2 linked regions of the Saccharomyces cerevisiae S288C genome follow. The protein of the gene in region 1 interacts with the protein of each later gene in a pairwise test. Each region holds a gene or a part of one and is shown in the gene's direction. Other genes may lie near its edges.

Evidence for each region. Proteins that work in one complex are often made in the same cells at the same time.
Region 2: the proteins of SPO21 (region 1) and NUD1 interact in binary tests that used the Saccharomyces cerevisiae proteins (3 or more experiments, as listed by UniProt).

The regions. Positions count from the first base shown.
Region 1 is NC_001147.6:143,088-147,663, forward strand, and holds SPO21 (Spo21p), read left to right. Parts: upstream 1-2,246; coding exon 2,247-4,076; downstream 4,077-4,576. Other genes in the region: TRM10 (tRNA (guanine(9)-N(1))-methyltransferase), read left to right, coding at 1-609; YPQ1 (cationic amino acid transporter), read left to right, coding at 1,117-2,043; mismatch repair ATPase MSH2, read left to right, coding at 4,295-4,576. UniProt on the Saccharomyces cerevisiae protein: Involved in the pathway that organizes the shaping and sizing of the prospore membrane (PSM) during sporulation.
Region 2 is NC_001147.6:1,035,233-1,040,221, forward strand, and holds NUD1 (Nud1p), read left to right. Parts: upstream 1-1,601; coding exon 1,602-4,157; downstream 4,158-4,989. Other genes in the region: NDD1 (Ndd1p), read right to left, coding at 1-1,239; aldehyde dehydrogenase (NADP(+)) ALD4, read left to right, coding at 4,608-4,989. UniProt on the Saccharomyces cerevisiae protein: Involved in astral microtubule organization by binding SCP72 to the outer plaque in a cell-cycle dependent manner. Required for the mitotic exit by facilitating the binding of TEMP1 to CDC15.

The DNA.
Region 1 (4,576 bases):
GATTCTGGGATAGAGATCATACTTGACTGTTCTTTTGATGAGTTAATGAACGACAAGGAAATAGTAAGCTTGTCTAACCAGGTCACCAGGGCATACTCCGCGAATAGAAGGGCGAACCATTTTGCAGAAATAAAGGTGGCCCCATTCGACAAAAGACTAAAGCAAAGGTTTGAAACTACTCTGAAAAATACCAATTATGAAAACTGGAACCATTTTAAATTCCTACCAGACGACAAAATCATGTTTGGAGATGAGCATATAAGTAAGGACAAAATAGTGTATTTAACGGCCGATACAGAGGAAAAGCTGGAGAAGCTGGAACCCGGGATGCGATACATTGTTGGCGGCATTGTAGACAAGAATCGTTATAAAGAATTGTGTCTGAAGAAGGCCCAAAAGATGGGCATTCCTACGCGAAGATTGCCCATTGACGAGTACATCAATCTCGAAGGCAGAAGAGTGTTGACGACAACGCACGTCGTGCAACTCATGCTGAAATACTTTGATGACCATAACTGGAAAAATGCCTTTGAAAGCGTTTTACCACCCAGAAAGCTGGATGCGGAAGCAAAATCCGCAAGCTCTTCGCCAGCTCCAAAGGACACATAGGCAGCCATCACTGTAGTATTATTAGTAACTGAATAGCAAAATAGTAATAGTCTCCGTAGCTACAATAGGTGTATATTGATGTCAGAGATACGGGTTAAACATGCGCAACTGGTAGTAGTTCTTCAAAGGGTGTTTATGCTTATCATAGTACTTGGACATTAGCCGCCGAAACTGGCTCCACTCGAAATCTAAATGGCATTCCCTTTTTAATATTAACAACACCAATCTTAGTGTCCGAGAGGTCCAAATCTAATGTAGGGCCGTGGGAGGATACTTCTTATTTCTCTTTGCTTATTTTGCTTTGATGTTGTATGTGTTTTACCTGTAAATTCTCTAATATGGTCATTTTTGCTCTTAATGACTCTTTTATTTTTACCCGGATTGCAATTTTTCACATATCGTCTTTTTATTCACTACGTACTTTAATCGTCTTCGCGATGATATGTACTGCTAACGAAAGAATGCCATACAAAAAAAAAGCTACCACATCGCTCGACGACCTCAATTATGCAACTTGTGCCGCTAGAATTGAATAGATCCACTCTAAGTGGGATATCTGGGTCCATCTCCATCTCCTGCTGGATCATTGTGTTTGTCCCTCAAATTTACGAGAACTTTTACCGGAAGTCGTCTGATGGGCTGTCTTTATTGTTCGTGGTACTTTGGTTGGCCGGCGATGTCTTTAACCTTATGGGTGCCGTTATGCAACATCTTTTGTCTACCATGATCATTCTTGCTGCTTACTATACGGTGGCAGATATCATTTTACTAGGTCAATGTCTATGGTACGATAATGAGGAAAAACCAGCAGTAGACCCTATTCATCTCTCCCCTGCCAATCCAATAAACGAAAACGTTCTGCACGATGTGTTCAATGAACAACAACCGCTTTTGAATTCCCAAGGTCAGCCAAATCGTATTGATGAAGAAATGGCTGCTCCTTCATCCGACGGAAACGCTGGTGATGATAATCTCCGTGAAGTCAATTCAAGAAATTTGATAAAAGACATATTTATTGTTAGTGGTGTAGTTTTTGTAGGTTTCATCTCGTGGTATGTAACCTACTGCGTAAACTACACGCAACCTCCTCCCGTGGAGGATCCATCACTGCCTGTTCCCGAACTGCAGATCAATTGGATGGCTCAGATATTCGGTTACTTAAGTGCCCTTTTGTATCTGGGTTCAAGAATTCCTCAGATATTACTGAATTTTAAGAGAAAGTCTTGTGAAGGTATCAGTTTCCTATTCTTTTTGTTCGCCTGTTTGGGTAATACCACATTTATTTTCTCTGTGATTGTCATTTCTTTAGACTGGAAGTATCTAATTATGAATGCTTCCTGGTTGGTTGGAAGCATAGGTACTTTATTCATGGATTTCGTCATATTTTCCCAGTTTTTCATTTACAAAAGAAATAAAAAATTTATACTGAATTAACATGTTCTATCTAATATTTATTTAACATATTTTTGACCTCACAAACTTTTTTTTTTTTTCTCTCTGTCATTGACATTTTTTTAATGTCACAAAAAGAAAAATTAAATGTATTATAAAATTTCATTTAAATAGGAAAAAACCCGTGATTACTAAAGGCATATTAAAGATCTATTAAAGATCTATTAAAGCTTTCTGCTACCAGTATGGATAATATTTTAAAGGCATCAAATATGGAAGGGACTTCAACAATGACAGTTACCTCGCGTAGTTCTGAAGACTCTAGTTGTATCTCAAATCATGAACAAGATACCGATACACATAAGGACGGCGACACAAGTGGTCTGGAAAACAGTAAAATTTCGAAGAGAAAGTGGATGAAAGAGTTTTTTAAACTTTCCAAATCTCCAGCTTCCAAAAGCAGCCGGAGTATAGGTTCCATGAAAAGTAACCAGAGCCTCGTTTCAATGAAAAGTAGTGACGATGGCAACAGTTATAAAAATGATTACTCTTCTATCTGTGGTAACAGCCTTCCATCTGCAGGCTTGAGTCGTTCGAATAGTGTGAAAGAATTAAAATTAGATTCAACTGGAAGTCAGAGATCAAAAAATAATGTTGCCATGTTAGCACGTTCTTCTACAACATCTCAGACAACGTGCTCTTCTTCTTCATCATCATCTTCTTATAACTCTATAAAAGGAAATGAAAATGATATTTTATTGCAGAATAACAATCACTTTAGGCATAACAAAGAAATTCCTCAAAGTAAAGGGAGCTCCAACATTAACACCGCATCGATTATGAGCCAATACAATGTCGATACGCAAGCAACCGCTATAATGAGCGATATGCAAAAGCAATACGACTCGCAACAGATGACATCACCATTTGTAAACGAAGACTTGCATTTCGATCCAAATGGTGAAGTTTCACACGTAATAAAAGCAATTTTTAAAGAAATTGGTTATAAATACGATGATTTCAGTGATATTCCTGTTTTTCAATTAATGCAAGAAATGTATCAACTAGTGAAGAAGAATTCCAGCGCTAGAAGAACAAAGATAACAGACTATGCCTCTAAACTTAAAGAAAAAGAAGCGCAATTAAAAAGTCAAAATGACAAAATTTTGAAGTTAGAAACAACAAACAAGGCCTACAAAACTAAATACAAGGAGGTCTCTCTGGAAAATAAGAAAATAAAAGAGGCTTTCAAAGAACTAGACAATGAGTCATACAATCACGATGAGGAATTACTAAAAAAATACAAATATACTAGGGAAACCTTAGATAGGGTCAATAGAGAACAGCAATTAATCATTGATCAAAACGAGTTTTTGAAGAAAAGTGTCAATGAACTACAAAATGAGGTTAATGCTACCAACTTCAAGTTCTCTTTATTTAAAGAAAAATATGCAAAATTAGCTGATAGCATCACTGAATTGAATACCTCTACGAAAAAAAGAGAGGCCCTGGGAGAAAACTTAACTTTTGAATGCAATGAATTAAAAGAAATATGTTTGAAATACAAAAAAAACATCGAAAATATATCAAATACCAATAAGAATTTACAAAATTCGTTCAAAAATGAAAGGAAAAAAGTTTTAGATTTGAGAAATGAGAGAAATTTGTTGAAAAAGGAAATACTGTTGATTGAATGTCATGGTTCATATTCTCTACTCCTTGTATCTAATATTCTGACATGTTATCGGTTCTTACTGCCAAGTGATACTATTATTGAAACTGAAAGCTTAATTAAGGAGCTACTCAACATGAATAATTCACTTTCGAACCATGTGTCTTCTTCTGACGAGCCTCCAGCGGAGTACTCGAAAAGATTAGAATTAAAATGTGTAGAGTTTGAGGAAAAGTTACTTTATTTCTATCAAGAACTTGTGACGAAGAAAATTATAGACGTCATTTACAAGTGCTTTATTAATTATTACAAGAAAAGTAGGCAAACTGACCAAAAATCCAATCAGAACTCCAGCACTCCGTATAAACAAAGCCAAAGACAAGTTCCGCACTCCATCAAGTGAACCTCAACAGCTACACATTCTTTTATAATCCTTAATATTCTATATATACATATATGAAAAAATAGAAAACGCGAAAACTTGTCATTTTTTTTTTAGGCGTTTTTATAATATACTGAAAATAAAAAGAGGCTCTTTAAATGTTGACACTCTACTCCAATATCAACTGTAAAAAATCTCTTTATCTGCTGACCTAACATCAAAATCCTCAGATTAAAAGTATGTCCTCCACTAGGCCAGAGCTAAAATTCTCTGATGTATCAGAGGAGAGAAACTTCTATAAGAAGTATACAGGGTTGCCGAAGAAACCATTAAAAACCATTAGATTAGTGGATAAAGGCGACTATTACACAGTTATAGGTTCAGATGCGATATTTGTGGCAGATTCAGTCTATCATACTCAATCTGTTTTAAAGAACTGCCAATTGGACCCTGTAACGGCAAAGAACTTCCATGAACCAACTAAATATGTTACTGTTTCGCTACAAGTTCTTGCCACTCTG
Region 2 (4,989 bases), 890 kb from region 1:
ATTTGGTGTTGGTGATAAAGGTAATCTTGTCAACCCCAAATCAAACAATTGGTCATCCACATTGGAATCCAGAATGTTATCTGATCTCGAAGCTAACAAGGGAATTCTAGAGTTATCCAATTTGGAGATAGATTTAGTTATTGATGAATTTAATTGGATGGTAGTCGGTGAAGAGCCGTATATGTCCTGTTTATTTTCGTTGTCCTTAGTTAGTGTGCTAGTGCTATTGATGGTATCCTGGGGGGTTTTAATAAATAATTTTTTATTGTTAGATCTTAGCGGCGTTCTCTGTAAGATGTTGTTGGCATTTTCCAGCCCTATGGATGTTGCATTAGTGGTAATATCCTTTCTTGCCTTCTGAAAATCCACTAACGCGCTGTTAGACGATATCAATGCTTTTGCATAAGGTGTACCGACGTCATTCAGAATTTTTCTTCCATATGGTGTCAACGACAGGGAGGAGAACCTTTTTGATGGAGATGTCGGCAGCGGTTGATTGAACATGAGATTCATGTCAATCTTACTCAGAGGAGTGCGTGAAAATGCGCCGGTGCATGAAGATGAGGGTGTTTTTCCATTACTCTTCAAAAGATTGTTCAAATCGACATTGCTAAAAACATTCTGTTGTTGACCTGGGTTCTCTGTGGTGCTTTGCTGAGCACCGTTAGAATCTGTTACAAATCGAAGTGGTGTCTTTGCCGGAGTTTTGTGAAAGAAATTGAAATTGGTGGACGGAGAGTCCAACAAAAATTCTTTGAATTGCTCTGGGGATGCAACCAAAAATTCGCTGGGTAAAGAGTTGCCGAACTGCAAAACAGAAGAAGGTTGAACGTTGATATCGTCCAAAGTCTCACTTGTATCTGTCCTTGTGACAGCAGGAGGTACAAGTGAACCTAGAGCTTGCTGTTGTTGTTGTTGTTGTTGTTGTTGTTGTTGTTGCTGTTGTATCTGCTGATGATGCGGTAATATACTGTTCTCTACCAACGACGATTCGTTGCTCGAACTGTTGTGAGCGTCTGTATTGGCAAAATGATCTTGAGTCTGTTGATACTGATTAGAAGAATAGGGCGTGGGGAATTGAGTCGTTGTAGGTAACGGACTGTTAAAATTATATTTGAATTCTGACATTACCTTCAAAAAATTTGTATCTGCATTATTGTCCGTAGAGGGCTGTCTTGAGGAAGTTGCAGTTGCCCCAGTTGAGGTATAATTTTGCTGGTAGCTTATATCTCTGTCCATAGTTGGAATCAATGCTCTATTCTGACCAATTTATTCCAATTTGGACACTTTTTCCACCCACAATGCCGATGCCAAATATTCAGAAGATCCTTGCAGCTCCTTAAGGCTCTGTCCTATTTGTTTTGTTTTGTTCTTGTTTTGTTGTTTTTTTTTTTTGCGTCCCGTTTCTTTTCGCGAGGAGGGTTACGCCAAACGCCAAAAGGCTTATGCGGGTAGTGACCTAAACTTGTTTACTGGAATGCTATTAACGATGCACAACAGATAATGAATAAATACAGATGAGTATCTAGGATGCCAGAAGTGTTCAACAATATTCAGGTGAAAAAATTGCCGACTAGGTTGAATAGTAAAAGCATACCGAAATGGATATGGATACGCAGGAGGCAGAACTATCGAGCCAGCTGGAGAATCTTACAATAAATTCACCACGAAAGCTACGCTCGAACGCGCACAGTAACAGTGGTAAAGTGTTTAAGGAATATGAAAGTAACCACGATTTTCAAGATTCAAATTTTACTTCCCAAGTTGTGGAACCTGCAATATCCGATTCTGTCAAAAAACCTCCTACAATGACAGTTTTGAACAACTATAGCACGGTGCATCAGAAAGTGCCGTCAGGTTTTTCAGGCACGACTGCTACATCTCATCAAGAAGCTCAATGGAAGCAGTATTTCCCTGGTATTGGTAGCGGCGGTGGTACCAACTTTGGTGGCGCTGTTGGTACTGCAAACAAAGTTCCTGAATCGGATCTCATTGTGAGCGACTTGGTTAAGGATTTATCTGGAGTTCTTGAAACAAATACATTTAAAAGACATTTAGATATGAAGAATAAAACTACTACTATGCAGACCCATGAAAACCATGATACGATTAGTATTTCACATTCTAAAGATTTCTTTAACGCTGAGAAGGTCTCATCGTCGTTTTCTGATGACAGCGATTCTGGCCCAGCAGCTGAGGCACATGATGTATTTGATGGCATATTACAAAAGCAAAAATCGAATTATTTGGTGGGTTCTTATCCAAGTAATAGCAACAACAAAAACAATAATAATAATAATAATAATAATAATAATAATAGTATTAATATTAATAATAAGGATAACGCTAGAACGAAGGAGGAGGACGAAGAGGACACTTCCAATTCTTTTGAATTTTCATCATCGTCATCCATGTCGTCCTCTCAAACTCAATCAGGCAGAAAATCAAAAGTTCTCAAGAAACCTCCATTGAACACTATTTCACCCGGTCAATTGGGATATCAGTTTAACCATACACACGGCGCATGGGATCCGCCGCTGAACCAGGGCTTAGATGTGTCGAGTTCACATTCTCTGGACAATACATCTTCCAACCAGTCCCAGTTCGCCACAATGGTACCAACTGGAGATAATCACACTAACGGTAAGGCACCTTCAATTCTAGATAAGAAGGCGTATGAATTAACCAGTACCAAACCAGGTGATGTTGGCTACCGCCAAAAGAAAATACAAGAAGAAGAAAATCTAGCAAATAGCGATGACACGCCCCTAGACACACCAAAATTTAATGACCTTTTTACGAAAAATGGCACTAGAGCGAAGGTTAAAGGACAAATGCGTACCTCTCGTTCAATCTCTAATTCCAATCTACTAGAAGCTCACAAGAAACTAAAGACCTTCCCCGCTGAACGGGTTGAAGATATTACGTCCATTTCCGAAGTAAACACCTCGTTCAACGAAACTGAAAAGCAGCTAATATCAATCTTGACTAGTAAACTATCTGGTTCTCCAAGCTATGATTCCGATTGGGAAAAAATCCTGAAAGTTGACCTATCAAGGGGCAAACTGAAGAATATGTTTGGCATGCAAAGACTACTACCGAATGTATTAGTGCTAAACCTTAGTGACAATGAAATGAACACTCTAGAAGGTATACCCTCGAACGTTGTACAGCTATTTTGTTCAAACAACAAAATAACGAGCGCACATTGTTCATTAGCCGGATTCCACGATCTGGAATGCCTCGACTTATCGTACAACCTCTTGAATACAAGTTTAAAATTTTTGTCACTTTGTCATCACCTGCAAGAGGTGAACCTTTCTTACAACTCCATCCAATCCTTAGAAGGGATAGGATCCTCCAGGATGAAAAAACTGAACCTTTCTAACAACGAGATTAATGGTATCATCGATTTCGAACAATTGATACTAACAAACAACTCTGTCGTGGGCGGCTGGTTGACCGTGGAAGTCTTAGATCTAAGCAACAATAACATAATTGGCGTAAGAAACATCAATTGCTTGCCCCGCCTGAAGGTTTTAAACCTCAATGGTAACCCGCTAGTTTCCATCGTGGAATCTTCTAAGATGGAGAACGGAACGTTGAGAGCGCTTTCCATCAAAAATACAGGAGGCGCGCTATCCAAATTACAAAATTACAAGTTGGATGATCAATTCACGTTCCCCTACCAAAATCTAAAGATTCTAAAACTGGACGGCTTCGCTCAACTTAGCAAATGGCAAAAATGGCCTGCCACTTTGCAAATTCTGGAGATCAACGGCGGCCTGGCCTCCTCTTTGCCGCGATTCTCTTCTCTAAAATCCACCAACTTATATTCTCTAACTATAGCTAATGTTAGAGACTTCACACACTTACCAGTGGACCTCTCCAAGGAACTACCGTTCTTGCAAGAGCTACATCTGCCAGGCAACAACCTACAAAACGCACACAAGTTAACAAAAACTCTCCCACGCCAATCAGTAAAATTTCTTGATCTACGAAATAACCCAATCACGACACCACGCCACGATCGCGCCAGCACGAGCTTGCATTACCGGCAGTTGCTCCAGCTTGCTGGCCTCTGCCAGCAGCAATGTCCCGCCCTGGCGACCCTCTGGTTAGATGACACTCCTGCCCCAACTGCCACGAATCTGTAACCCCATAACTATACCCGTACGCAGTACTAAAAATGTATGTAATTAGTAAATGTATGTAACAATTTCACCGTTTTGTGTAACAATTCATTCATTCATTCTTTTGATCCTTTAGTACCGTCCGCACATGATGTCATTTCCCCCTCATTTTTGTTTGCTGGTATGATTCCCCGCCCGGGCGACGGTACGGCTGTTATCCAGCGATGCGGGACTTCCGTCCACAGGTATCTTTTTCTCCAACTCCAACAGAGATGGAAAATGAGGGGCGGGTGTAGGTAAGCAGAATGAGGAGAAATTTGTAATGAAAATGGAAGTTCGGCGGTTATATAAATGGGGGGGGTTTGTCGGTGACAATTGACTTCACTCTCCTTTCCTCAAAAATTCTTGGGTGTTAGGATTAGAAGTATCTGGAAAACCAACCAAGAAAACTACAATAACAAAAATAAATAAAGCATGTTCAGTAGATCTACGCTCTGCTTAAAGACGTCTGCATCCTCCATTGGGAGACTTCAATTGAGATATTTCTCACACCTTCCTATGACAGTGCCTATCAAGCTGCCCAATGGGTTGGAATATGAGCAACCAACGGGGTTGTTCATCAACAACAAGTTTGTTCCTTCTAAACAGAACAAGACCTTCGAAGTCATTAACCCTTCCACGGAAGAAGAAATATGTCATATTTATGAAGGTAGAGAGGACGATGTGGAAGAGGCCGTGCAGGCCGCCGACCGTGCCTTCTCTAATGGGTCTTGGAACGGTATCGACCCTATTGACAGGGGTAAGGCTTTGTACAGGTTAGCCGAATTAATTGAACAGGACAAGGATGTCATTGCTT